Oryctolagus cuniculus: one gene and its partners. The protein of the gene in region 2 purifies or fractionates together with the protein of the main gene of each other region. This does not show direct contact. Links are inferred from orthologs where the notes say so. Each region holds a gene or a part of one and is shown on either strand. Other genes may lie near its edges.

The links.
Region 1: the proteins of PHLPP1 (region 2) and WDR48 purify together in Homo sapiens (affinity purification with mass spectrometry; 5 studies listed by BioGRID and IntAct, with this or other methods). This does not show direct contact. The link is inferred for Oryctolagus cuniculus from reciprocal best matches to the Homo sapiens genes PHLPP1 and WDR48.
Region 3: the proteins of PHLPP1 (region 2) and USP46 purify together in Homo sapiens (affinity purification with mass spectrometry; 7 studies listed by BioGRID and IntAct, counting the BioPlex papers as one, with this or other methods). This does not show direct contact. The link is inferred for Oryctolagus cuniculus from reciprocal best matches to the Homo sapiens genes PHLPP1 and USP46.
Region 4: the proteins of PHLPP1 (region 2) and WDR20 purify together in Homo sapiens (affinity purification with mass spectrometry; 4 studies listed by BioGRID and IntAct, with this or other methods). This does not show direct contact. The link is inferred for Oryctolagus cuniculus from reciprocal best matches to the Homo sapiens genes PHLPP1 and WDR20.
Region 5: the proteins of PHLPP1 (region 2) and SUGT1 purify together in Homo sapiens (affinity purification with mass spectrometry; 5 studies listed by BioGRID and IntAct, with this or other methods). This does not show direct contact. The link is inferred for Oryctolagus cuniculus from reciprocal best matches to the Homo sapiens genes PHLPP1 and SUGT1.
Region 6: the proteins of PHLPP1 (region 2) and FKBP5 purify together in Homo sapiens (affinity purification with mass spectrometry; 4 studies listed by BioGRID and IntAct, with this or other methods). This does not show direct contact. The link is inferred for Oryctolagus cuniculus from reciprocal best matches to the Homo sapiens genes PHLPP1 and FKBP5.
Region 7: the proteins of PHLPP1 (region 2) and USP12 purify together in Homo sapiens (affinity purification with mass spectrometry; 4 studies listed by BioGRID and IntAct, with this or other methods). This does not show direct contact. The link is inferred for Oryctolagus cuniculus from reciprocal best matches to the Homo sapiens genes PHLPP1 and USP12.

Annotation. Positions count from the first base shown.
Region 1 is NC_091441.1:108,252,463-108,255,962, forward strand, and holds part of WDR48 (WD repeat-containing protein 48), read right to left. Parts: intron 2,870-3,500; coding exon 2,782-2,869; intron 465-2,781; coding exon 388-464; intron 1-387. UniProt on the Homo sapiens protein: Regulator of deubiquitinating complexes, which acts as a strong activator of USP1, USP12 and USP46. Enhances the USP1-mediated deubiquitination of FANCD2; USP1 being almost inactive by itself.
Region 2 is NC_091441.1:15,588,033-15,591,532, reverse strand, and holds part of PHLPP1 (PH domain leucine-rich repeat-containing protein phosphatase 1), read left to right. Parts: intron 1-1,646; coding exon 1,647-1,875; intron 1,876-3,500. UniProt on the Homo sapiens protein: Protein phosphatase involved in regulation of Akt and PKC signaling.
Region 3 is NC_091439.1:110,974,036-110,978,196, reverse strand, and holds the start of USP46 (ubiquitin carboxyl-terminal hydrolase 46), read right to left. Parts: upstream 2,801-4,161; 5' UTR 2,650-2,800; coding exon 2,614-2,649; intron 1-2,613. UniProt on the Homo sapiens protein: Deubiquitinating enzyme that plays a role in behavior, possibly by regulating GABA action. May act by mediating the deubiquitination of GAD1/GAD67.
Region 4 is NC_091451.1:45,449,689-45,453,188, forward strand, and holds part of WDR20 (WD repeat-containing protein 20), read left to right. Parts: intron 1-549; coding exon of another isoform or gene 550-601; intron 602-2,334; coding exon 2,335-2,517; intron 2,518-3,500. UniProt on the Homo sapiens protein: Regulator of deubiquitinating complexes. Activates deubiquitinating activity of complexes containing USP12. Anchors at the base of the ubiquitin-contacting loop of USP12 and remotely modulates the catalytic center of the enzyme.
Region 5 is NC_091440.1:60,191,185-60,195,124, forward strand, and holds the start of SUGT1 (protein SGT1 homolog), read right to left. Parts: upstream 2,801-3,940; 5' UTR 2,783-2,800; intron 2,620-2,782; exon of another isoform or gene 2,484-2,619; intron 2,172-2,483; exon of another isoform or gene 2,042-2,171; 5' UTR 1,917-2,041; coding exon 1,879-1,916; intron 1,779-1,878; coding exon 1,718-1,778; intron 1-1,717. UniProt on the Homo sapiens protein: May play a role in ubiquitination and subsequent proteasomal degradation of target proteins.
Region 6 is NC_091436.1:133,767,754-133,772,033, reverse strand, and holds the start of FKBP5 (peptidyl-prolyl cis-trans isomerase FKBP5), read right to left. Parts: upstream 2,801-4,280; 5' UTR 2,636-2,800; intron 1-2,635. UniProt on the Homo sapiens protein: Immunophilin protein with PPIase and co-chaperone activities. Component of unligated steroid receptors heterocomplexes through interaction with heat-shock protein 90 (HSP90).
Region 7 is NC_091440.1:87,334,965-87,339,149, reverse strand, and holds the start of USP12 (ubiquitin carboxyl-terminal hydrolase 12), read right to left. Parts: upstream 2,801-4,185; 5' UTR 2,355-2,800; coding exon 2,307-2,354; exon of another isoform or gene 1-2,306. UniProt on the Homo sapiens protein: Deubiquitinating enzyme that plays various roles in the regulation of the immune response and inflammation.

The DNA of each region.
Region 1 (3,500 bases), about 93 Mb from region 2:
TCACTGCCTTGCCGGCTCCCCTCCCTCCCACGCTGCAGGTACACAGTCCTCACGTCCCCGCCCACACCACGTCCCCTGGAGTAGCCATCTTCTGAAGTTCTACCCATTCGCTCATGTCCAGCACAAACCCCAAGTCCTTCAAAAAGCCTTTCTGAAAAGCTCTGGTCAGACTCACTTCCCCCACTCTCCTTATTCCCTAAGTATCCATTAAAGCAGTCATGGCATGCAGGTTTATCCTGATCTGCGGGTTATGGGAAGAGAGGATTCCTCAGTGTCATAAAGTCAGCCTTCCACCTTGCCTCCTTTGCTATAAAAGTAACCATAGGGAAATCAACGCTCATCAGTAATTAACTACATCAAGGACCAAGTGAAATCACAGGAACTTACTTTTTTAAGGTTTTTGCTCCTGAAGATGCATGAGGTTGGAGGTAGAAAGGAATTTTGTTGAATTTGGGCATATTTTTCTGAAATATTAAAAGTTAAAAAAAGCATAACAGTTTCTATTAGCTGATAAAATGCTGTCAATAGGAAAACATGATTTTCAAGTAATAATTACTTTTAATTAAAAGTGGTTTTTCATGAAATTTAGAAGTAAGCTAATACATCTAAGTCAGCCTTGGAGAAAATTTATCAGAAAAGTATGACATTGAGTTTTGAAACAAAAGATACGTAAACTACATGTCATTTCAGTGGTAATATAAAATTATAGTATGGCTCTTAAGTAACAGTACAAGGTACTAAAGTGAAGAAAAAAATAACTTTAATTTTTTTAAGCCACACAAACCAAACTCTCAACAGTGTAAAACATGGGCTGATACCTAAAGTCCCAAACGGAAACTCAGGTGTCGTGAGAGAAACCCACAAACTGACCCTGAGCAAAGCCAGGCGCTCCGCAGGGGTGAGGCCCATCGGCCAACGCCACGGCCAAGCAGGCCCTCTCCTCTTTTCCCTCTGCCATCAGAGCAAGGTCGGAGGTTTTAAGAAAGCAGGGAAACTTCAGCCAACAGCCTAGCGGCCACCGCATACTTAGATGAAAACATTTTCAGGGTCATCTTTTCTCAGGGTCATGATCCTCTCCGAGCCTCCCTGGTGTACCCTGTGCACCTGTCTCCTCTCAGGAAGAAGCCCGAGGCCTGGAGTTGCCAGTGTGTCCTGACGGGAGGAGTGCTTTCCAGGGAGCTCAGACATGGAGAAGACTATGCAGTGTCCACCAGCTGTCACACTGGCTCTGTGTTCTTGGAGATATTATTTGGGACAGAAAACACACTTCCTAAAGGTTCTGGAGATTAAATCTCTTTTCATATGGCTTTAGGAATATACAAAACAGGTTAACAGTACATAAGGGAGTCTAGAAACGGACCCTTGTGTATAGAAATTTAGTACGTAACAAAAGACTGCACTTCAGATCAGTAGAAAAAAGGATAGATAATTTAATTAGCTGTGCTGCCACACTGGCTACCCCTTCTGGAAAGCAGAATCATACCTCATATCAAAGAATAAAGATCTGGACATAAACATTATCACAAAGGTACTCGAAGAGAAGAGAGGAGAGAACACTTGTGCTACTTTGTGGAGTGGAAATACCTACACAAGTCATGCAGCTCAGAGCCAGGAAGGCTCAATTTGACTAGGTAAAAAAAAAAAAAAAAAAAAAAAAAATCACAGCTTTTCACCTGGCCAGAGACACCATGAACAAAGTAAAAATTCAACTGAAAGATGGAGGTAACAGTCAAAGGGTTAATATTCAATACAGAGAATTCCTACAAATCATTAGGAAAGACAAGAGATCTCAAAGGAAAATGGGTGCGGAACGGGAGCAGGCACTTCACAGAAGAGGTATCACGGCCGCTGTGAAAAGACACTCCGTCTCACTCAGAACGGACCCAGAAATCCACGTGGAAGCAACGCCAAACATCTGCCTATCTCTCAGCGAGGTTAGCAGTGTCCCACGGTGGTGTGGGTGTGGGGAAAGGGCCACTCACACACCGCTGGTGAGCGTGTAAACTCTACCATGTCTGTGGAGGGCAATTTGGCAAAGATATCAAAAGTGAAAATGCGCATAGCCTTTGATCCAGCAATTCCACTTCTAGGAATTTATCCTAAAAAGTACACAAAGATACATGTACAAGGATGTTCACTGCAGCACTGTTTGTAACAGAAAACATTGGAAACCACCAAATGTGTGTCAACAGGGGACTGACTAAATACAGCATGGAATTCCTACAATGGAACACTTTGCAATCACTAAAGGGGGATGACCCACATGTCCACAGACATGAGGAGGTAGCCAAGATATGCTTTAAATGGAAAAAAAAAAAAGTTGCAGAACAGTATGTATAAAGGATCTTGTGCAAAATAAAATGAGCTGCACAGAAAAATATACACACAAATAATATATGCTTGTGTGTGCAAGGAAAAAAATACTGAAGGCTATGCATTCATCATTCCTAGCTCTTACCTCTGGGAGGAGGGTCAGGGGGTGAAGGGGTGAGAAGGAGTGATTGGGAAAGAGACAGGACTTTCACTGCATTCACTCAGTATTTTAATGAAAAAGATGTATTATTTTTATAATTAAAAACAAAAAACAAATAATTATCAATACTTCTGCAACTTGGGAACTGCAGGCAGGCAGGGAAGGATTCCACTTCGGCAGTCTAGCTTTTATTAAAGTTCAAGATAACACTGTCTAAAGCACTTCTTCATTTCATGATTTGGAAAAAAACAAACAAACAAACAAACAAACAAAAACAGCAGGGGAAGGTGGGCGGGGAGGCCACTTACGTCCACGGTGATGTCAATTACCCATTGCGGCACTGTCTCATTGAGCAGCATGGACTCAGTCTCGCCCCCGGAGTCCCGGCAGAGCAGCCTACACACAACAACAGGGAGTGAGTGACACAGCACATGACAAAACCACTGTCCACACCCACTGCGGGAGGGGACGGCAGAGCGCACTGGAGAGCACCCCAGCGGAGAGTGGGGGACATACTGTGTAACCAGGCGCAGTGACTGGCTCGGCAACCATGGCGGCCTGCGCGCTGAGCCCCGGGGTGACGACGGGGGCCCGCGGGTGCGCCAGGTGCCGAGGTGCGGTCCCCCGCCAGGGCTGCAGAGCACAGCGCAGGGCCTGCTAGTCACTCTCAGGAAACCATAAATGAAGCAAATCTATGCTCAAGAGCAAGAAAAGCCTTTTTCTTCCTCTGGCACCTACGGAAGACAAGGGCCTTGCTGGCCACCTGGAGGCGAGCCGGGTCAGGCCTTCCCTGTGGCCCCTAGCAAGGGCTGCTGGCCACCACCCATGGGGCCAGTGCTGGCCGCAACAGTTCCCATCCCGCCTGCGGGAGGTGCCCCACTGGGACGCTCTGAAGCTGCTCGGGGACTTCCGGAGCTGTCAGCCGCTCCTGACCCCGGCAAAGCGAGAGGAGGTGAGTTTCCTGCAGAAGCCACCCGGGAGCTGCCCAGAGACGGGGCGTCACCTCACAGAACGCGGGGGCTGCTCC
Region 2 (3,500 bases):
AGGAAGTTGCTTTTTCTCAGGGAGTAGGAGAAATACCTACTGAGGAATGTTGTTTCAGGCAACATTGAGAGCTTTACCTAAGTCATGAATAGTTCTTCTTAAAGAGCTCAGCAGAGGCAGGCCCATGTAGTTCTTTATGGCTGGGCTCGCCTATCTTGCAGATTCCCAGTGGTCATATACTTTTAGCAATGGGATGACGATAATAGCTAAGAGATAGTGAGTCCTCAATCTGCACAGTCATTGCTCTAAATACCTCACACACTTCCCCTAGGGATAGTAATATTGTACTTATTTCACTGGAGAGAAACTGAGGTTACAGATACAAGGCAAAGGGCTGTAAGAGCTAGTAATTGGTGTGGCCAACATTTCTCTCCAGCAGTAAGAATGCAGAGAGTGTTTGAACTACCAGGCAGGTCAACTTTGCAGTTTTTACTATTCTTGTCCTAAAAGAAACACACATGTCACACACAGCACAGACACGCATGCCATGCACGCATACCCTCCACGATCCCCAAAGAAGTCTCCTTTTTGTAGTCTATCAAGTTCTAAATAAGAATTAGAAACAGAACCTGAAACTCAGATCACTGTACTTTCACAAGTCACCATGCCTTTGGAAAGAGAGAACAGAGCTGCCTGGGAAAGGTCTAAAACCACACTGAGTCCTGGTATCTGGGAATCTCTTGTGTGCCTCCTGTGATCCATATTTGTTAAGAAGAGGCTGCAGGGTGAGTGATGAGCTTTTTGGTGCTTAGAAGAATGGAATGTTCTTTGTTCCTGAACTAACACATGGGAGTAGGCAGCCCATGTTTCCCAGCACCCTGAAGCACTCCATGGTTGCTGACAGTGCCTAAGACTGCTCTTGTCACACAGGGGAGCCTATTTTTTCTTAACTGTGTTACTCCTCTACCACTCAGAATAGCAGGTCCTGGGAAGTATCACCATTTGTTGGTGACAGTTCTTTGCTTCTATTGATTTTCAAAGTTTGCAGATATGTCATGTATTCAGTACGTCTGCAGATCAGTGGCCATGAGAAAAGGATAAATCCTAAGCACGTGGTGTTTGATTACAAGAACATTCTTTCTGTGAATCTTCTAGAATAGATAGTACTGGTCCCAAAAGTCTTGTTATAGGGCAGGAATAGGGACAAGTTTAGAACCGAAAGGTTCATGCCAGTGAACACGCTGGTGTTCAGGTTACTGTGAAGCACAGATATTAGTGGGTGTGGTGTGCTAACTGTTGTTACTTTACTGCTCCTTTGAGTTTTCCTCTCCTGGGAGCAGAGGGAATTTAGAGAAGTGGGTGGAGCATTGAGCAGCTGTCCTGCCATCTTTCGAGTGTGCTGATAGGGCAGTGTCGTTGACATGGACGTGGCAAGCTAGACACAGCAATCCAGGGGCTCCATCTTTCCAGACTGGCTCCTATGACTTCTAATGGTAAAGTCACCTCTCCCCTGTTTGTGAGCAGACGCCTGTCAGTTTGGGTGTGTCAGGGGCTCTCTTCCTCTGCGAAGTTGAGTGGTGCCTGTAGGGCATACTTTGATGAACAAGGCTGATTTTCCTGAATCCCTGGGTCCGACTCCCTCCGGCCCAGTAGGACCAGGGGTGCAGTCCTCCTGATAAATGAACAGAACTCTTTCTGGATTCCAGGAAACTTGGAACTGCTGGGCAGAAGCTCGGAGGTTCTGCTGTCCTTTGCCATATCAAGCATGACCCTGTGGACCCAGGTGGTTCCTTCACCTTGACCTCTGCCAATGTGGGCAAGTGCCAAACAGTGCTCTGTCGCAATGGGAAGCCGCTGCCTCTGTCCAGATCTTACGTCATGAGCTGTGAGGAAGAACTGAAGAGGATTAAACAGCACAAGGCCATCATCACTGAGGTGAGGAGGGAGATTTTCCTCAGAATGTTGGGCAGGAGCGGGCCAGGTCATAGCAGAGACCAGTTAGGGAGCAGCTGCCTTCAAAGAACATTTTTGAAGTTGGTTTAAAATTAGAGCTCCAGATCCGTGTCATGGAGCAAATTCCTTGTCCGTTGTGTCCAGAGACATTTGCTGCAGAGGAAGATAAAACATTTCTCTGTGTCGGTCAGGGACTTGGCAGCATGGCTGATGGGCATCACCCCCATTTGACCCTCACAGCCCCTTTGTGCAGCACTGGGTTAGGGATTGAGAACTGTACCCCTGAAATCACACTGCTGGATCACATAGCTATGCTCTGCCCCGAGTGGGCTATTGCCTTGAAGCTCTGTAGGCCCTGGTGTTCTCATACGTAGAGTGGCAATAGTGATGCATCTCTATCTGTCCCATCTTCCAAGGGATGTGTAACTTCTAAACGGTGAATGTCTGTTTACATATAACTAGTTATTTTGTTCATACCTTGTATTCCATTGGAGTAATACAGCAAGTGGCTCTCACCTGGAGGCAGTTTTGTCTCCACACCATGGGACATTTGGCAGCATCTGGACGTGTGTTTGGTCCTCACAGCTGGGGCTGAGTGTGCAGTTGACATCTAGTAGGCAGAGGCCAGGACGCTGCTAAATCCCACAGTACACAAGACAGTCCCCACATCAGAGACGTCTCTGGCCCAGAATGTTAGTAGTGTCGCTGTTGAGAAACCCTGCAGAGGGTCTGTATTATAATAAGGTTCATGGCCAGTAAGCCATCCAGAAGGGTCCAGAAGCTCTCCTCCATTCACTGAGGCATCGCCTACGATGTCAGTCACCTGCCGTGTGGGTGAACAATGTGGGGCATAGCAGTGATGTGAGGGGCCGTCCGGTCCTGCCTGGTTGAGAGAACCCTATGTGGTTGGAGGTAGCCATTGGTGAAAGTTTGTAGTCTGGCAGAGAAAAGGACAGATTCTAGGTATAAAGGCCATAAGGTTTAAGATGTACTATAAATGTCTGTGGAAGTGAGTACATTTTAGTTCTCTGCCTGTTCCAGGAGCAGAGAAGATTAAATAAATAGTAGACACTTTTAGGGAGCAGTCAGTCTAATGTGGTACAGGGTATATTGAATTAAAGACTCAATCTTGGGCCTTATGTGATTCAGGGTAAGTGATCGAAACACAATACACAAAACCGTCGGTTCTTGGGGGGAAATCTAAAGGATGGTCAGAATGGCAAGGGGAGTTTTTGCCAGATTCCACACTTTGGGGAAAAGTTACAATAGCAGAATCCAGGAAGTTTAAAAGTGTGCTTGATGCTCTGCTTTGCTAACGTTATCTGTAAGAATGCTACCTGCTTGTAACTGGCATGGCCAGCTGTGTGAGGAGCTGGGGGCGGCACCCCTAGAACCAGCAAACGCCTTGCAACATCCCAAGTAAAGGAGTGTCGTAGGGCAGGAAAGGACGAGGATGCTCTCTGGAAGCAACAGCGGTTCGATAGATAGTCACTAGGTGTGCAGTGGAGCCTTCTCTGCAAAGGTGTTAAAGCTAGAGGCATGAAGAGGCACCCTATGGACCTGAAGACCTCAGACTCGAAGAGTAAAGAACTGACAGGTGCACAGGG
Region 3 (4,161 bases), on a different chromosome or scaffold from region 2:
ACAGAAGTGCTTGGGCCCCTGCACCCACATCAGGGACATAGATGGAGTTCCTGGTACCCAGCCTTGCAGCCATTTAAGTAAACCACAGGGTGGAAAAATCTCTCTCTGTCCCTCCCTCTCTCTGTGTTTACTCTTTTAATAATAAATAAGTAAATCTTAGAAAAAAAAAAAAAGAAATAGGGGCCAGCGCTGTGGCATAGTGGGTTAGGCCTCCACCTGCAGCACCAGCATAGCATGCGGGCACCAGTTCAAGTCCCAGCTGCTCCACTTCTGTCCGATCTAGCTTCCTGCTAATCGCCTGGGAAAGCAGCAGAGGATGGCCCAATTGATTGCACCCCTGCGCCCATATAGGAGACCCAGTCCCGGCTTCAAATCAGCCCAGCTGTGGCCACTGCAACCCTCTAGGGAGTGAACTAGTGGATGGAAGATCCATCTCTCTGCCTCTCAAATAAATATTTTAAAAAAATAAAAATTGCTTTAAAAAGAAATAAATAAAAAATGAAAATGCAATCCCCCGGGCTCTTACTACAACGACTCAAACAGCTGGGAGTGTGTGGACCTGGGAGGGGCAGGGCCAGTTCGAGCCCCCAGAGAGAAGCTGAGCCCTGGGAGGAGCCAGCCAGAAGACAGCGCTGGAAACAGTTCACACTGAGGAAAGCCTCTAAAGAGGGTGTAAAGAACATTTAGGTCTGATGGGGTGGCAACACAGCAGTCCCCTCATCCCCAGCCCACTCCAGGTATGTGTGGGAGGCCAGCTGGGAGGGGCGGGGTCCCCGAGCAGCCTCTGCACACACCGCCCTCCCCTGGCCTGCACCAAGCAGCAGGTGGGCTGTCAGTATCCATGCATCATCTCCCCAGTGCCCAAAACCACCGCAGGCCTGTCCGAGAAGGATGGTGCTGACCTCAACTGCTAGCGGCCCCAGCACCCCAGTGAGGCGCCGGCCACGACTGTCCGGATGAGGTAAGAGCCAGTATCCTCCCTTTACTGAAGATAAGGAAAGAAGAGCAACTTGTCCCCAAGACCGGGAGGCGTTAAGTTAGAAGCAGCAGTGGCAAGGCCTTGAGAGCGGAAACTGCCTCACGCGCCCCACACACAGGACCGGCGTGCGAACAGAAAACTCCCCTGGCCTGCGCGCAGCTCCTCGGTCCGCCAGGCTTTCAGGGCTGCACACACGGGGGTCCCACTCGCGGACACAGCAAGGGCCTGCCACCCCCCTGCCTGTCCTGTCCTCCTGCGGCTCCTCTCCCTGGCGTGTTTCACGGGAGCCAGGTGCGCTAGAAGCCCGCGGTGCAGCTGGAGGCCGGCGTCCCCCAAGCTGCTTCCACACTGAGCGGTGTCAACAGCACCAGGGTTTCAGGGCCAGCCTGGCTACTCGGCAGGCCCGAAGGCAGGCATTCGGCGGCTGTGGCTTCAGGACTGGCAGCAGCCGAGGGGAAGCGAGGAGAAAACATCTCCTCCAGCGGCACCAAGCTGCGTTCACGCCACTCGACAAAAAGCAGGAAACCCGCTTCCTCGTGGAAAAAGAGAGGAAGGGAGAGGAGACAGGAGCCCCCCACGGAGCCCACCCCATGTCAACACCTGTGCCGCTGTCACTCCGGGACGCCCCAGCCTTCACCCGGCCAAGTGTGGCCAAGTCCCACGGAGCTAAGAGCCGAAGCCGCCCCTGAGCTAACACAAGGCTTCTCCGTGCTCCTCTGCCGGTGTGGCTCTTGCAACAGAATGTGGGGCAGAAGCAGAGAAGAGCCCGAGATGGAGGAGGGGCGGCCGGCACACCTCACCCCCAGCCTCCTCGGGGTCCCGGCCTCAAAGTGGCACCCCAGGAGCACGCGTTGCAGCCGGGGAAGGCCAGGCAAGGGGCAGGAGCATGCAGACACACACTCATCCTGACCCCAAGCCGGGCTCCCCAGGGCTATGACAAGGGGAAGACGGGCAGGGCTGGCTCTGGGGACTCAGTGGGAGCTGCTGCTGCAGAAAGCAATGGGAGAAACAGAAACTACAGTCCCCACCAGGCCACGGCCCCAGACCCCCGTCAGGGCCCACTGCAGAGCCCCTGGCCGGGTGCACGCCAGCCAGCAGCCGGTGGCCCGCGGGGGATCAGGCAGGGCAGCCCGGAGCCCTCCTGCCCGTCCAGGTCCCCGCCCCCCTCTGCAGAGACGGGGAAACCGCGGCATGAGACCCCACCACCGCGGCGCCTTCCCAGGCCAGGTTGAAGTTCACTTCCCCAACCGCACTTTTTCCACAGCTCCATCACACGGCAGGTTTCTGCAGACCACCACCGACTGCCGCTGCAAAGTGGATTCAGGCGAAGCCCAAGGGCTGAACTCGGACCCAGAGGGGGCGGCGCGGGGGCACAGCGGGGCTTCCTCGCCCGCAGCCCTGCCCCGGGGCGTCGCTGCCTCCCGGCCCCCGACGCTTCCACCGCAACCCGAGGTGGGGGCACGGCGGTGCGGCCCCGGGTCCCCGGTCTCACAGGTCCCAGGGTGGGGGTGGCTTCGGCCGCGCGCCCGGCCCGGCCGGGAACTTCCGGCGGGGCCCCGCGCCCTGGCCCGCGCCCCGGCGCCGGCGTGCGCGCGGCTCGGGTCCCCTTAGTGGCCCGGCGCGGCGGCACTCACCATATTACAGATGGAGGCGATGTTGCGGACAGTCATGGGTCTAAAGGTGGCGGCGAGCGCGCACCGCCATCTTTACCAGGGGAGAACGGCACGGGCCATGGCGGGCGCGCGCGGCGAGGCCGGGCCCGGCGGCCTGGGTCCGGCTTCCAGCTCGGCCGGGAGAGGAGGCCGGGAGGGCGGGGGCCGGGAGGCGGCGGCGGGGGCGGGGCGCGCGCGGGAGGAGGGGCGGCCCGAGCGCGTGGGTCCGCGCCGCCGCCGCGCGCCCCGCCCGCCGCCGCCTCCCCCGCCTCGCGCGGGGGGCCCCCGGCGCGCTCGCTGCGGGCCGGAGCGCGCGGCCAGGCCTCGCGGAGCGCGGGCCCCGCCTGTGTGCCCGGGCAGCGCGCGGCGCTGGGGACGCCCTAGGCCGCCTGCTGGTCGCGGGTCTCCCTCCCGCCCCCGCAGCCCCGGGGTTCCGAGCTGGGGCCGGGCCGGGGGTGGGGTCAAAGTGACCACGTCCAACTTTTCCTTTCTCCTGTCGCACGACACCGGCGGGGACCCAGGGTGGAAAATGGGGTCAGGACAGGACAGTGGTCAGAAAGCCGTGGCCAGCACGGCCGGGCCTTGCGCCCGGGAAGGGCGGGCAGGGCCAGGATGCGTGCGCTCAGGTGGTGCAGGTACCAAGGAGGAGTCCGGTGCCGGGCAGGGGGCAGGGGGCAGGGACCGTGCAGGGGTGGAAGCAGCCAGAACAGGACTTTGCCAGTTCCTCAAGGAAGACGCACCCCTGCCAGGGAGACCCAGCGCTTAGGTTTCGAGGTGGGCGCTGTCGGCGCACCCGGTCCACCTCTGGGGTCGTAACTTGTGGCTCTCAGCGCACAGCTTGGCAGGTGTGGTCTCCAGACGTGAGCAACTTCTACACACAGGGCTACCATCCCGTGAGTGGAGCGCGTGACAGATTCCGAAAGCAATGTATGCAAATGGAAAATGGAATTAGAAGAGAAATTAGTATAATGGAGGACAACTTTTATCCAACCAAGGATGAGCTCATCGGAAGACGTGGGGTTATGCGGGTGAGGTTCCGAGCCACTGAGGCTAACATCCCTAGGACCCAGTAGGGATTGAAGGTTGGGGGCGGGGGGGGGGCAAGTCATCACCCTATTTTTCAAGGGATTTAAGGATTAGTATCTCCACTTATGTTAAATCGCTCTACCTGAATCTTATTTACAAATAGATCCGGATGAGCCCACTTTGCTGATTCCCCATCGTCAGTCCTCAGCACCTTTTTCTGTGACCTTCCGTCACCTGCTGGGTGCGATCCCCCCCTCCTGTTGCAGCTCAGTAACATGGGACAGGGTGGGGAGCCATTTGGAAATTTATAACATCATTTGCAGACCATACCAGGTTATCTCTTAAAAATTAGCCTGCCGCAGATTCGAAACAGCCAGAGTGAAGCCCAGGCAGTGAATGACATAACACAACCAATCAGTTGAACACAGATCCTGTCAGCCTCACGAATGATTAAATACGTTTGAAGCTTGCTCGAGGTTGGTGGTCACAGGTCAAAACCGGAAA
Region 4 (3,500 bases), on a different chromosome or scaffold from region 2:
GTACCAATCCAAGCCAAGAGCCAGGTGCTTCTCCTGGTCTCCCATGCAGGTGCAGGGCCCAAGCACTTGGGCCATCCTCCGCTGCCCTCCCGGGCCACAGCAGAGAGCTGGACTAGAAGAGGAGCAACCGGGACAGAACCAGTGCCCCGACCGGGACTAGAACCCGGGGTGCCGGCACCACAGGCGGAGGATTAGCCTAGTGAGCTGCGGCGTTGGCCTAATCGTTCATATTTCAAATTGGATTTTTATGCTCTAGCTGCCAGTTGTATCGTATTTTATGTTTTTAGCTCCTTTTTACATGACCTGGTATCTTCTTTGTTCTGAGATGTCTTGCTTATGTTGTTCAGCTAGCCTAGAATCCCCTCTCCCTGCCTTACGCTCAAGGAGGAGCCACTGCCGCGGGCAGCCTGTGCATGGTTCATGGCTCCTCTGCTTCAGCCTTCACCCTGCCCAGGCCCAAAGTCAGGACGCCCCTTTGTTTTGTGTCATACTTTATATTACACTTTTCACGGCTCTTTCATGTATATATTCTCTTATTTCATCCTCCAGACAATCCCATGAGGTTGGTAGAACAGAGATTCTCATCTCCATTTTGACTGAGGTGAGGCTGGGAGAGTGTCCGCATGGCGTGTAACCTCATTCCTGTGCCCTGGGCCAAGTGCTCCGGGCTTGAGTTTGCTCAGAGATGCTTGTAATCTTGAGGTCCTTTCTTCTACTCAGTATGTATATTTGTTTGAAAATCAACTATTAGAACACTTGGCACAATGTCACAGGCCTCTTTGGAAGAAAGAAATCTTCAGAACTTCATGGAGGGGTGGTCATAGAGAACTAGAGGGTGAACCCCACCGTGGCACCCAGGGCAGAGAGGATGTCTTGGCATAATCACTGATGGGAACTGTCTCCACGCGTGGTCTTCACACGCAAGCAGGAGGGGGTGGGTTCCCCTTACTTAACAGTAGCAGCCCAAAATGTTCATTAGTCATGAGGAAGGGAATCTTTCTTGCTCAAAGGAGGGGACATGTTGAAAATAATTTTTATTTTTTAAGTTGCAGAGCCATGTGTTTTTTTATTTTTTATTTACTCATTTTAAAGGATTTATTTATTTGAAAGGCAGAGCAACAGAGAAAGAGACATGGATGGAGGGGAGGGGGCAGAGAGAGAGAGAATCTTCCATCCATTGGTTCACTCTCAAAATGACCACAACAGCTAGAGCTGGGCCAGGCCAAAGCCAGAACCAGGAGCTTCATTCGAGTCTCCCATGTGGGTGGCAGGGGCCCAAGCACTTGAGCCATCACCTGCTCCCCTCAGGGTGTTCATTCGCAGGAAGTGGGGGTCAGGTGTGGAGCCAGGACTCAAACCCAGTACTTCAGTACAGGATGCAGGTATCCCAAACAGCAAGGTAACTGCTGCGCCAAGTGCCCATCCCCCCAGATTATTTTTAACCCAAGTCAGAAATTACTTACTTTTGACTTTGGGGTGTGCGGGTATGTGTTTCTCCCCATTCCCTTTATGGGCAAACAGAACTGGGTTTCAAATGCCAGTTACTAAATAGGTATTGCCGACAGTGGCCAAGTTAACTTCTCCAAATGTATTTGCTCACTGGTAAATTGGGGGAAATACTGTCTGCACTGACAGATTACTGTGAAGATTAAATGTGCGTGCAAAGCACTTGAGTGTAGGCTCAGTAAGTGGAAGTTCCCTGAAAGCTAACACAGAAGAGGGATTGTGGCCCGGAGAGGGAACCGCCTGTGTACGGTTGGCCCAGCAGTGGTCGTCAGACTCACCTGGAAGGCTTTTAAACTGCAGCTTGTTGGGCCCAGCCCGTAGTTTCTGAGACACAGGGTCTGTGGTGCGGCTTGAGAATCTGCTTCCCAAGTCTCCAGGTGGTGCTGCTCTGCTGCTGCTGGTCTGGCGGCCACACTGGAACACTGGGCTGCAGGTAGCTCACCCGTGGGCGTGTAGGTGTCACAGCCGTGTCTGAGAGCGGACCTGTTCCGTGTAGAGTTCCTCTGTTAGGAAAGTGCTTGGAATGCATCCTGAAAATACCGAATGTAGTATCTGAGATTCCCCGACCCCTAAAACCAGAAGTCTTTGTCACAGGAGATAAGCTGTGATTTTTAACAGTTATAAACATAGTATAGCAACATCTAATTGGCTAAGGTATGTGAAAGTGTTTTTGTAATATGTGAGACAAATGTTAAGTCATAACTGAAATTTTTTAAATAACATTGTTTTTAAGATTGAACATCATAATGGAGTATAAAATAGTATAACTTAGATTTCTCCTATGTCAATGTACTGTTTACCGTATGTATTTTTCTCTTTCTCCTCCAGGCTGCTGACTTGAGTAAACCAATAGATAAAAGGATATACAAAGGAACACAGCCTACTTGTCATGACTTCAACCACCTCACAGCCACAGCAGAAAGTGTCTCTCTCCTAGTGGGCTTTTCCGCAGGCCAAGTCCAGCTTATAGACCCAATCAAAAAAGAAACTAGCAAACTATTTAATGAGGAAGTAAGTAGCACCCTGTCTCAGCTGTTAAAGAATCCCTTTAAGAATTTATACATTCTTACCAAGGATAGTGGACCTTGTTTTGTGCTTCAAGCTAAGCCCATGTTTTATTTGCTCGGCTGTCCTGTGTAGTGTTAGCCCCAGTTTCAATGTGGTGGATTAGTAGTGACCTCTGCCTGTTCTCCCTTGGGGTGACTGTTCCATGCATTTTTATGGAGTGTGTGCAGGTATCCATACTGGGGATTTAAAACCCTTCTGTAACAGGTAGAAATGATTATAACTTGATACTCGTAATTTAATTAAAACTATAGAATTCCCAGTGTTCACGTCACCAGAATAATTCCGTGCAGACTAAGAATCTGACAATTTCTATAGGCTGCTGCGGTTGCAGCTGAAGCTTTCTTGTGGTTGTGCACGCGCGGTTCGACAGGCATTTGACTAAGCAGCAGTTCTCTAACTCTGGGAAATATTCGCTGTAAAATCACCTTGGGCATAGTTAGAAATCCTGGCACTTAAAACTGGATCACATGACATAGATTTTGCCAGCTGTAGTATGTGTTAAGGTTTCCAGTTTCTTCGGTTTCATTCTGGAAGGAACCTGAGATAGCCATCAGTTCAGGAACATGTCAGAACTTAAACGCGCCAGACAGAATTTGCCAAAGGGATTAGTATTTGCAACAGTGATTGGAGCGGCTTTTCTCCCCAGCTGTCGCCATCACATATTTGATGTTCCTGCTCCTCTCTCAGTACAACTTCCCTGCGATTGGGAAGGATAAAGCGGGTTTCCTGAATGAGAAGCCCTGGATTCTAGTCTCTCCTGTGACTTCGGCCCTCATATGCATGGGTCGGGTTCTATGAGACCCCGTTCAGAAAGAACAGTGGTTTTGAACTGTTGCATGGCTTTAACGTCATTAAGGTAGAACAGAAGCACATCGTAGAGTCTGGTTTTTAAGAAACAACCTTTTTTGGGGAAGAATATCAAACTT
Region 5 (3,940 bases), on a different chromosome or scaffold from region 2:
CTGTTTATGAATGCAAGAACAAGTAAAACTAACTGATGGTGATGGAAGTCTGACAAGGAGTCAACTGGAGAGTGAGGGAAGGAGCTCTATGGATGGAGAGGTTCTCTCTCTTGATCTAGGTAGTGTATACATGTAAAAATTCATCAAGTTATTAAGACCTGTTATCTACAGATATCATACATCAACAAAAACTTTAAAAGCTAAAGAAAGATGTAATGTGACAATGGAATTCATTATGTAATTATTATTTTTTTTTTTGACAGGCAGAGTGGACAGTGAGAGAGACAGACAGAAAGGTCTTCCTTTGCCGTTGGTTCACCCTCCAATGGCCACTGCGGCCAGCGCACGGCACTGATCCGAAGCCAGGAGCTTCTCCTGGTCTCTCATGAGGGTGCAGGGCCCAAGCACTTGGGCCATCCTCCACAGCACTCCCAGGCCATAGCAGAGAGCTGGACTGGAAGAGGAGCAACCGGGACAGAATCCGGCACCCCGACCAGGACTAGAACCCGGTGTGCCGGCGCCGCAAGGCGGAGGATTAGCCTAGTGAGCCGCGGCGCCGGCCTGTATCTTTTAAAGGCAACTTTTATATAGCCTGGATTTGTAAAGAAAGCAATGGGCCTAACAGGACTATCACAAATGTATATTCAGAAAATAAGCTAACATAAGAAATTATGGGAAAAAAAATTCTCCAAGCTTCCAGTAACATTATTACTATCGTGGATGCAAAAAAAAAAAAAACCATTGCCTGATCTGGCCCTGGTTTCCAGTCCCACCTTACCTCTTCTTCTTTCATCCCACTATAATCAGATTGGTCTATTTGCCTCCTGGAATAGACCAACTTATTCCTATCACAGGCTCTTCTTTCTGCCTAGAACGTTCCTTCCCCTAGAGCTTCCAAGCTCATTCCTTTGATGCTTCAGGTCTGGGTCAAGTTTCAACTCCGGGGAAAGACTCTGGTACTTAGCGGCAAAGTTCTTTTAGAAGTCACAGTTGGGAAAACGATTCTCTAGCCTCAAATTGTTATGTTCAAGAGTAACAATGTAACAATTTCCTCTCCTGTGCTTAAAAGAAACGTCCCGGCTAAATTTTGTGACCCATGGCACCTCAGCTCAGGTTCTCTCTATTATTAACTCCCACTCTTTCATATCCCTTTTCAGCTATATAACGCCTCTTCCAACTGCACAAAAACACAACGTGCTTTCTTAAATACATAAGGTAAGACTTTAACCCATAGCAATCCGTGCCTTGCACACAACCAACTCTAAAAAAATTTTTTGATGAATCAACAAACGAGTGAATAATCAACAGTGATAAGACATCTGGAAAGTTTCAAGGGCACGAGTTAAAGGTTTTTGTTCCGTTCACGGACCCTTACCATAGGGCCCGGTACAGAACAGCAAGGATGAGTATCAAATAGGAAACTAAATCAACTAATACCAAGTCCAGATTTCACTTCTCTTGCTCCCACGAAGTAAAACACAGGTTGTGTTCGGAAGAAGCTGTGGGAATGGGGGCGTCTGGGAGCGCGAAGGGCAAGAACAGGGATGCGAGGGGTCCACTGTGGGACCAAGGATCCCAACACAAGGGGCTGAGACACAGTAAAAGCAGCAGCCCCGATCCCGGGAAGGTAGCGCTAGGAAGAGGCGGGGTCAGCCAGAACCCGACGCAGTCCCATTCCCCTCAGGAGAACGGAGAAGGCAGAAACGGGATCCCTCACCTCTAACGCCGCCTGGGGGTCCTCGTCGATCACCGCATCTGGGAAGGTCTGGGCAACCCTGCTAGGAAAAGAACGACTTAAGCAGGGCTCACTAACCAAGGCAAGGATATTAAATACATAGTAAAGGGAGGAAAAAAAAAATAAAACGAAACGCCACGCACCTCTGGGCTGCTGCAGGTCCTCCTGCAGCCGCCGCCATCCCTGATAGTCGTTGCTGCTGCTACCGCGGCTACCGCTCCGCCGCCGCCCAAGGGGGAAACTTCTGGAGAAACACCAACCGAGCTTCCGTCCTAAGTAGCCAACGAGCAGCCACGCAGCGTGCAGCTAGGGGAGGGGAGGCGACAAGCAGCGCAGGGCTGGCTGGGAAGGTGGAGGACCCATTCTGCGGGCCTGACCCGCGGTCCCGTGACCAGCTCTCACAGTCCCGCCCCTCACAGCCCTGCCTACGGAGGCCTCAATTGTCCAGTCCGCCGTCTCGTCCATCGCGTGCGTTGCGCATGCGCTCCAACAGTCTTCAGGAGCACTAGGTCAAAACCATTTTATGACGTACTGTTGCCCCTCAGGAATGTGTGCCGATTGGAGTTGGGAGGGAGGCTTTTGCTGCCCGTGAACAAGTCATAGTAAGCTACACTCTCATAATGGCTGCCTTAGGCAACCAAGCCTTTCGTGACCCTTAACGTCATTCGAGGCTTGCGCGATCGTTTCCGGGAGCAAAGTCCCGGATGTTGCTTTGATTCCCGCGATCGTTGCGATGAGACGCTAACGCGCCGGGACTCGCCGGAAGTCGTACAGCCCTTACAGGGCCTAGAGGGAAGAGAAGCTTCTGGTTCCCGGGTAGATGCACTGATGCCAGTTTGCCAGTGTACATTCCCTAGAGCCCCACAGCGCAGGCTTGCTTTCTAGTGAGTTTCCCAGACCAAGGCGGGCGGGAGGTGGGCGGGGACCTTTCCTACAAGCCACTGAAGGGAAAGTGACCTGAACTTGTGTGGCTTCTGCTGTTTGCTCCCATAGACAGCAGCGCCATTACCCCCAGCCCCCGCGACCCACACTTTGACGTATGCAGACTTGTTCCTGAAGTTTCCATCGAGCTCCACGGGACGGGTGGGTGTCCAGGAGGAGCAGGAAGGGCTGAAAGTGAGTGGCTCTGTCAGTCAAGATACAGAACTGAGCTTTAGTGTCAGTGCTCTATCTAAACTCGCACCAATCCCCAGGATTTAAAGATGTTAATGTCCTCAAGGAGCTTACACTAAATCTGATGCGTCTAAGAGGGAGCACTTAACTGAATATGAGATGTGGAGATGGCTTCCTGAAAGATGTCATACTCGAGCCGTGCCTCCGATTAGTTGATGAACGATGTGGAAAGGCAATTCAGACAGAAAATAGGATGTGTTTGAAAACCTAGTGAGCTCCCAAGTTTCTAGAGCTTAAATTCACGTTAAAAAAAAAAAACCATAGGGCTGGAGAGGTAGGTTAAGTGCTAGGTCATAAAGGGCTGCTTGCGGTATACTCAACTGCTTGAGTGTTGTTAAGATTTTTAATTACGAAAGGGAATTCCGCCAGATTTGCATGTTTTAGGTGTTATCACTCTCATCGTGGAAGATTAAAGAGGAAAGTTGTTGGGAGGTAACTTGAAACATGGGTCAAATAAATAAATCTGAGATAGGTGGTGACATTTTAGGGATGGAGAGGAGGGTCCCGTTACAGGATATCTGAAGTAAAATTCTGGGCTTCCTGGTCAACGGAAAGGATTGCAGGGGCCTGATATTTTGGCCTATAGTTGAGATGCTGACTTAAGAGTCCTGAATCCCCATGGGCTGAGTATCTGCGTTCCATAATGGGTCGGGGTCCTGTCTCCAGATTCCTACTGACTAATGCAGACTCCGGGAGGCAGCCCGTGATGCATGCAGTGCTTTGGTTCCTGCTACCCACTGAGACGTGGATTAAGTTCTCCAGGCCCAGCTTTGACGCTATGTTAGACCTTAAAGCCATTTGGGGAGTGAACTGCAGGTGGGAGCCCTGTCTCCTTCCATCTTCCTGTCTTTTAAAAGCTCTTTGGGGGCCAGTGCTGTGGCAGAGTGGGTAAATCCGCCACCTGCAGTGCCAGTATACCCTGTGGGCACTGGTTCGAGTCCTGGCTTCTCCACCTCTCTGCTGTGGCCTGGGAAAGCAGTAGAAGATGGCCAAAGTGCTTGGGCCCCTGCACCCATGTGGGAAAGCCAGAAG
Region 6 (4,280 bases), on a different chromosome or scaffold from region 2:
GGATTTAGCTAAAGTCCTTGTTTTTTTGTGAAGTTATTCACTTAAAAATATTTACCACTCGCACCACCAGCCCCCAATCAAAAGGAGCCGTACCTGAGGGTAACTGCTTAAAAAAAAAAAAAAAACCTGCCAGTGTTTATTGTGAGAATTCAGCTTGTGCTTAATTTTGAAGATAAAATGTGCTTGATAAATTAAAGTGAACAAAATTCAGTAGTTAAAATATGCAAAAACTGAATTTTAAAATAGGTTTTAATTTTAAGGTACGTTCATAATTAAAGTACCTAAAATATACTTTTGTGGAAACAAACTTACGAGACATAACTTGACGATATTTGGCATATTAAAGCACCATCACAGGATAAGGACAATCAACGCTCTAACAGCACAGCACTTAAATGTATTCCTTTACACTAAAGAGCAATTAAATAAATAACGAGAGACAATGAAAGCCCAAGTGTCATAAAGTCCTTTATAACTTTGTAAAGGCAAAACCCATTCTATGTGAGGACAAGCCACTGTTCTTTCTACCCTTCCTAAGCATCCGAAAGCCAGCTCAGCTTGTACAGCAATAACTTCTGCGGGTGTACAAAGAGGATGTTCTTCTCCGGACTAATCCATTCTAAGTAGAGAAGCCTGCAGGAAACTAAAAAGCCTGAAACATGGATTCTTTTTCCAATTCAAGAGTAAACAGAAAATTAAAGACTTAATTAGTTGCCTAATTCATTAAGTTTTTCATGTTGAACTGATAACAATTGTTTTAAAAAAAAGAAATGCACTCAAATTTCCCATAAATAAAAAAAGTTAAAGATTCCAAAAAACATACCTGTTTTACAAAATGCTGGAAAGACAAAGCCCTTACAACATACGTGGGAAGTTCAAAAAGTTCACGGAAAAGTGGAATTAAAAGATGAATTTATTTCAGTACAAAACATTCTGAAATCCAGACACAGTTTCTTCATAATATGCATTTCTGTGAACTTTTAAAGACCCCCGTTATCTAAGTTTATTGCTTCAGAGAAATAAAACAATTTATAAAGATCATCTTTATTTTTTTTTTACACTGAAGTAGTCACAACTTTGGCTGAAGAGTTCTGACCTCTTATTAACTGTTACATAATTCTAATTAGCAAGGTAAATAAGCAAATTAAATCAAAGTTAATAACGCTGCTCCTAGGCAGTCAAACATATCCACTATGTGCATCAAACAAGACGCTTTAAAACATAAAAACCGAGCACACCAGATCCCGTGTGTCTCACAAGTGACCTAATTTTAGAAATACAATTGTATAGCATGCCCAGGTTGGTCAGGGCTAAGTGTGGCGGGTTAGGCAGGGGTCGGGAGGCAGACACACAAACGGAAACGCTAAGGGAAAGTACGACAGGACAAAAAGCTCCCACCAGGGTAAGGCCTTTTTTCAGGTCGACCCTTGGAGTTTGACTCCCATCCCGAGAGAGGCAGCTCCTCTGACTCTCTAAAGCAAAGACCCCCAACGCGGGGGCAGGGGGGCTGCAAACCCCTACCCCGAATCCGCCCTAACTCTTCCCGGGTCCCCCATCGAACAAGGCGGGGAGACAATGAAAGCAAACAGTCCAGGTCAGAGAGCGAAGAAAGCTCCCATTCAGAGCTACGCCTCACTCCCCTGGAAAGCACAGCCCAGAAAGCGAATCCAAAACCACGGACTGCACGGCGGCCCGCGGAGGGCAGCGGGGCTCTGCGCGCTCCCCTTCCAGGCTGTACCTGCCCGAGCCGTCGCCGCCGCCGCCGAAGCCGCCCCGCACAGGGCGGCTGCGCCCGGAGCAGGCAGCCTGCAGCGCCCGGGTCCTGCACGCGGCTTCTGCAAGCCGTCCGGGGCGCACGCCTCCCGGGACGGCCGGCAAGGCGGGCGGACGGAGCCGCAAGCGTCCCAGGACCCACCCCGGCCGCAACTCTCGGCCCGCACCGCAGAGTGCGGGTCACCTGTGAGCGCGGCGCGGCGCCCGCACCCCGCCGAGGGGCCGTGCGGCTCCCAGGCACGAGCGCCAGGGCGGCAGGTGACGGCGGGGCACGCCCGCGTCCACACCCAGCGGGCGGCCACCCCGCGCGCGGCCGGGGCGCTCCGTTATCCTCGCCCTCCGCGGGCCCGCCAGGTGAGCGAGTCTCCATCGCGCCCGCGGCGTCCTGGCGCTCGTCTCAGCCCCGGGCTCCAGGCCTCCGGCCGCCCCGGTCCCGGAAGGCCAAGTTGCGCTCCGGCCCGCGGCTGCGGCTGCTCGGGCGCCGCCCGGCTTCTCCGAGGGTCCCGCAGCGCCGGGCCTCGGGCGAGTCCGGGTCCGCCGACGACAGCCGGAGCCGGGACCTGTCACCCCGGGCGGGAAACAAAAGCCGAGTGAGGGCGAGCGGGCGCGACCGGGAGGGGGAGCGCGGCGCGGGCGGAGAGCGGCTCCCGCGGCCCCCCGGAGGGAGCCTCGGCCCGGCGGCCCCCGCAGTCGGGCTGGGAGCCCCCCGGGCGCTCACCTCGTGGACTTGCAGCCCCTCGCGCCACTCCCTCCCGGGCTGGGGAGCCGCGTGAGGGGCAGCGGCAGAACCTGAAAAGAGAGAATTGGGCTCTCGGGACCCCGCGGCCGCCCCACCTCATCCCTGCGGCCATGGCGCCGGTACCTGTCTCCACAGTGCCTGGCCAGCTCCTGCTCTCTCCGCCTCGCCCGCGCGCCGCTCGCCCCTCAGCCCGCCCAGCAGGCAGCCCGCGCGCCGGACACCGCAGTCCGAGACTGGCAGCGCCCGCGAGCCGGCCCGAATCCCCAGGGCAGCGCCCGGCATGGTCCCGCCCCCGCCGGCCGCAGGACCCCCCTTCCATAGGGCCCCGGGGCTGTCAGTCCGCCCCCAAAAGGCGCGCGGGCTGTCGCTCCGCGTGTCCGGATTGGTGGCCGCGCGCGGTCCATGCAAATAAGGCCCCGCCCACGTTTATTTGCATCTCCGCCCCCCCACACTAGCCCACGTGTCTGGCCCTTGCCCTTTGTGGGGGCTGGAGAAAATGGATGGAGGAAGCTGACCGACACCCCCTCACATCAGCCCTTCCCTCCACAGAAACTAACGCCCAAGCAAGATCGTTGACCCCACTGCCGTACCGTGTCTGTCTGTCCTGCGGGCCTGGTCTGTGGCGGGAGAGGGGTCAGGTCGGGCTGTTTGCGTTAGATTAGCAGTCCAGGTTAGCTCCAGGACACTAACTCGGGAAGCTAGAGATGCTAGGTCGGACCCGAGAACATCCCGCCTCAAGAACCAGGTGAGCACGCGGCACCTCCCTTGGATACCCAGGGACCGTGAGAACCCTGCGGCCCCCACGCTGTCCCCCCCCGGGGGGGGGGGTGCAGGGGCGGCGGGGGGCCTTAGGGAATCTTTAGCTCAGCCCCATCATTTTTGAAGAAACAGAAACCTGAAGTCTCAAACTGGGGACCTATGGGACATGATAGTTGCCTATGGTAATCTGATGTCCCCTAATCAGATTAGAACCCGTGTCTCCTGGCTTTGCACACTGTCACACTGAAGTCTTTGTAAAAGGCCCTTCCCATAAACCAGTCACCATGCTGCCTGGTGCTTCAAGATTTGGAGGTGGGTAGAAAGTTGGTGGCATTTGGCGGAGAGGTTAAGGCACCAGGTCCCCCAGGAGTGGTAGGATCCATACCTGGCAAGGGCTTCCCTCCCAATTCCAGCTTCCTGCTAATACAGACCTTGGGAGGCAGCAGCAATGATGGCTTAAGGGGTTGGGTCCTCGACACTCACCTGGAAGACCTACTTTCAGTTCCTGGTCCAGGAATGTACTGGCTTGCTCTCTCTTTCTCTCCCTGCCTCCCTCCCTCTCCAATAAATAGAAATAAAAAGTGATATCTGTAGAAAAGGCAAATAGAGTCAACCCTGAGACCTCCTCAAGGATCCTTATCTCAGTCATTGGTCCTCAGTGTCTAGAAGCGTCTCTTTTTTGCCAGGGAGAGTCACTGAAACCATTTATTCATGCATTAATTCAGATAGTGTCGATCAAAACTACTCTGCATATTAACACTGATTCAGCAGGCATCTACCATGCTTAAAAAACAGCAAGTATTCAGCACCATGCTATGTGCTGGCTATGCAGCAGTGAGGAGGAATTGCCTCAGCTCCAAGAACTTCACTTTAGGACACAGGGACATCACGTTGAACATCTGAGTGTTCTTCACCCGGCAGGGGCTGAGATGGGATCTGCACAGGGCAGCGTGGAGGGCTCCCGGGAAGGAGGGGTCCCAGGATTCTTTTCCTGGGAGAGGCAGAGGAT
Region 7 (4,185 bases), on a different chromosome or scaffold from region 2:
ATAAAACAGCATAAATAAATTATAGTCCTTCTCCTGAAAGCCCTCCCAACCTAACAAGAGATGAGGAAACTCTACAAGACAGTATGGTAAATGCTACTGAGATTACAAAAACTCTGTGAATTTCTATGATGAGGAATGGGGAGGGGTGGTTTTGGACAGGGGCAGGGTTATTCAAGGAAGGCTACCTGTGTAACAGAGACAGGTACACACTTGCCACACAAGGACACGGTAGGGTGTTCCCAGTCTGGCAAAAACAGCATAGAGATAAGTAACTTCGCTGTTCTGGATTTTCAGTTTTGTAATTCTCACAAGATGCTTGACAGCTGCATTTAAAGAATAACTTATAACCTACTTCCAGAAATTCAGTACTATTTGGGAGGCCATTAGAATTTATTCAAATATGAATAAAGACACACCCAATTTTAATAGCACCTTTGGAACAGCCTCACTTGGCCAGGCATGGACATTTTGCCAACAATAAGTGCACCAATCTGCAATTAATGTACTGGGTGGAAACCCTAGAAAGAGCCTCACAGTCTGACATTCTTCAGATCAGAATGCCACTGACATAATGTATGACCTTGCAAAGCTCTGTGCCTCGTTTTCCTGATGTGACTTCAGCAAATACACACACACACACACACACACACAGAGACAGAGAGACTTGAATAGTGTCTGCCTCCCTCGACTAGAAGGTAAACACCATGAAAGCAGAAACTATGGGATCCCCAGCACTCAGCACAGTTTTTAGCACATGAATGAACAGTAAAGAGGATCACCCAATCCTGAAACCCTAGCCTTTGACAATGAACTATGACCCCACGAGGTGCACACTCAGCCATTTGGCAAAATTATCACTGTCAAAGACTTAATTATCACATTCACTTTGAAATCGACAGATAATAACTGGCGTGTCTACAAATAACGAGCTCACACCAACCTTGGAAATCATTTTAATAGAGTCCCTTCACCAATGCGTTCCTCAAATGTAAATCGTGAGAAAGAACAAACACCCGTTTGGGGAAAGGGATTCTTCAATGACTCATTCTTCCACATGACTTCTTCCTTGTCCAGGGTAGATTTTAAGCCCACCTGATTTCGGCCATATTTTGAAATTATTCCTCAACACCCAGGAGAGAAACTGCCTCTTACAAGCATCTCTGCGACCTAACTGCTCAAAGTAGGGAGACATTAGGTGCAAGGCTGCCCCGGGATCTCTTAGGAATTGCGACGCGTGAAAAAGAGCTCGTGAGACCAGGAACAAAAGACTTCACAAGTCTTCAGTACCATAACCACCAGGCTCACGTAGGAAAGAATAACTTTTTTGGGCGATGACTCATAAATTACGATCCCGACATATAAGCTCTTAAGGAGCTAATGAAAGGAAGTTGCCCCATCATGTGGAAAAATGTGGTCCTTCGGGCCAGGCACAGAAACACCAAGTTCTACATGCACTCAGAAAGCTTAACTGGAGACTCCGAAGGCGCATCCGCACTTCTCCCTTGAAGTCTGTTCAAAAGGCCCTAATGAAACAAATACCACCGCCCTTGCAGTCAGCCCCGCAACGGGACGCTGGCCGCTGCACACAGATGCGCCTGGGGGATTAAAGTGAGCAAATGAGAGGAAAGCTGCTTTTCCGAGATTAAAGTGGATGCCGGGGCCAAGCCTGACACCTGGACACACGCTGGAAACGGGGTTCCTCTGGGCGAGCAGAAAACGCAGAGAACGGCCACGCCACTTACTTAAAGTTTCCACCTACACTCACACTCACGGCGCCCCTGGCACGGGGTCGCACTTCTGCCTGGCCACAGCCACCAGAAGCAAACCTACACTTGACTTCCGTCCTCGCCTGGGCAGCAGCGAGCCTGCCCAGCCCGGCCGGCCGAGACCCTTCCTTCCTGCCCGCAGACCCCCGCCCCCGCCGCCGACGCCCGGCCACACGGAAACGGAGACGGCGCGGCCCCGCGGCCCTGCCCCTGCGACCCCCAGCCCGCCGCCGCGCTCCCACAGGCCGGCTGCGCCCAGCAGAGACCGGAGCAGGGCGGCCCGGGCTCGCCAAGGCCGGTGGCCGCCCCCAGCCCCCTGGCCACGTCCAGCACGGCGATCGCCCCTCGCAGCCCGGCCCGCGGGGCGCCTCCTCGGCCGCGGGGGCCGCTAATCGCCCGCGCTCCCCGCCCGCGCGCCGTCCAACCGCCCCCGCCCGGGCCGCCCGCCCCCGCGCCAGGCCCCCGCCAGCGGAGCTGAGGGACGGCGAGCAGGGCCGTCCGCCCGTCCGAGGAGTCCCGGGCCGCCCGCGCCGCACCTACCATGGTACAGATGGAGGCGAATTTGGAGACTGTCATTAGGATTTCCATCCGCCCAGCGCCATCTTCTACCCAATCACAGCGGCGGCGGCAGCAGCGGCGGCGGCGGCGGGCGGGGGAGGAGGGAAGCCGGGCCGCCCGCTCGCACCGCAGCCCGCGGGCGGACCCCCGAGCCGCCGCAGACCCACGCACCGAGCCTGCTGGGCCGCCGCTGCCGTCGTCGCCGCCGGCGCTCAGGCACTCCCTGCCTCGGGCCCCAGCCCCCGCCTGCCGGCCGCCCGCCCGCCCCCGGCTCCGCCCCGGCGCAGGGCGCAGCCGCTGCCTCGGGGCCCGCGCCTGCCCGCGAAGCCTGCCGCCGCACACCCCGCCCAGTGCGCTGGGGAGCGGGCTCCGCCGAGGCCCTAATGCCCGGCAGCTGCGCGGCCCCGCGGCACCGCCCCGCTCGCGCTCGGACCGCCCCGCGCGCGGCCCCGGCGCCGGAGCGCGAGCCCGGGGACTCGGGCCCAGCCCCTCCCGGCGCGCGGCCGGGGGCGGAGCCCAGGGCGGGCGCGCCTCCTGCCCGCGTCCCGCGCGGTCCTAGAGCCTGAGGGCCGCAGAGCCCGGGCTGCGGGCGCTGAACCGGGTGGAGCCGCGGCGGCTGCCGCTGGGCGAATCCTGGAGCAGGATTCGGAAAATTGTGTGTGGAGAGAGAGAAAAGCTGCTCTTGTACAGTGAAGCTATCCCGGGGCTAGTCTCAAGCGCTAGGTTTGTTTCTTTGTTCAGAATTTGGGTGCAAACGCTGTAGCTTACAAAAAGGCTAGCTACTTAAAAGCGAGGCAATAAACACAGTATGTTTGAATTAAAAGGAAGGGTAAGTAGTGGGGGAGGGGAAGGGAGCGAGCCCTACCTGCCTGCCTGCTTGTCAACCTGTCGCTGTAAATTTAGAATGTTTCTAATGATCGGCAAATTGAGCTGCGAAGTGGAGAGGGTCTCAGCCCGACAGTGATGATGGTGTCACGGGAACAAGGAAAGTGAGCCCAGCAAAATGTCAGAGATTCATACTTAAGCAGGGTTAGTTAGTGGGATGATAGCTCCTTTTTTATGCTACTTTTCTAAAAATTCGTACATGCACCCTGCTCTTCGTGTCTGGCAGCTCAGTTTTGTTTTCTTTTATTTAAGAAAGGACTTCAGGTGGGTCGGGTAGCTTTGGATGTGATTGTTTGACAGCTGAACTAGTGACGGGGTGCTTTTCTGGGGTTCCAGCATTTCAGCAGGGCTAAAGGCCCGAATTCAGGCCGACCTCTAAAATTAGGTATAGATTCAAAGCCTTCGAACACCAAAACAAAGCGAGCTACGTTTGGATGAAGAATGGATTTCTGCTACGTGAATGCTGTTTCCATAGTGATTCTGTTATAAGCTTGCTTGGGAGTGAAGAAATGCCGAGTGGGTGCAGCCGCGTGCCAAGGTAGCCAGCCTCGTTCTCCCGTGCCTGCCTTCTGCGAGGCTAGGCACTCTCCCTCCTGCCCTTGATGCCGGGTTAGTGGCTAAGGCCGTGTTTTCACCTCTGTGCATTCATGTCAAGCCTAGGGAGGGAAGCCAAGAGGCAAGTCCTCTACCCCTCCCAGCATCTCCCAGCCCCTGGACGCCATGTAGGAGACAGCTGAATTCCCAATGAATGTCATGGTTCCTAACTGCAGAGCCTCGCAATGGCTTATCTGCTCAAACAAAAAGCACTGTGCTGACCAAATAGACGAGCTTCAGCCCCAGCTCATTTCCTTGCTTGGGTCCTGAAGCTATCTGGGTATATTCTGTAACTTACGTATTCAGAAGAACCCCCAAGAGTCAACTGTACACAAAGTCAACTTTTGCTAGGCACAAGAAAGCTCTTTGTAAAACTGAAACA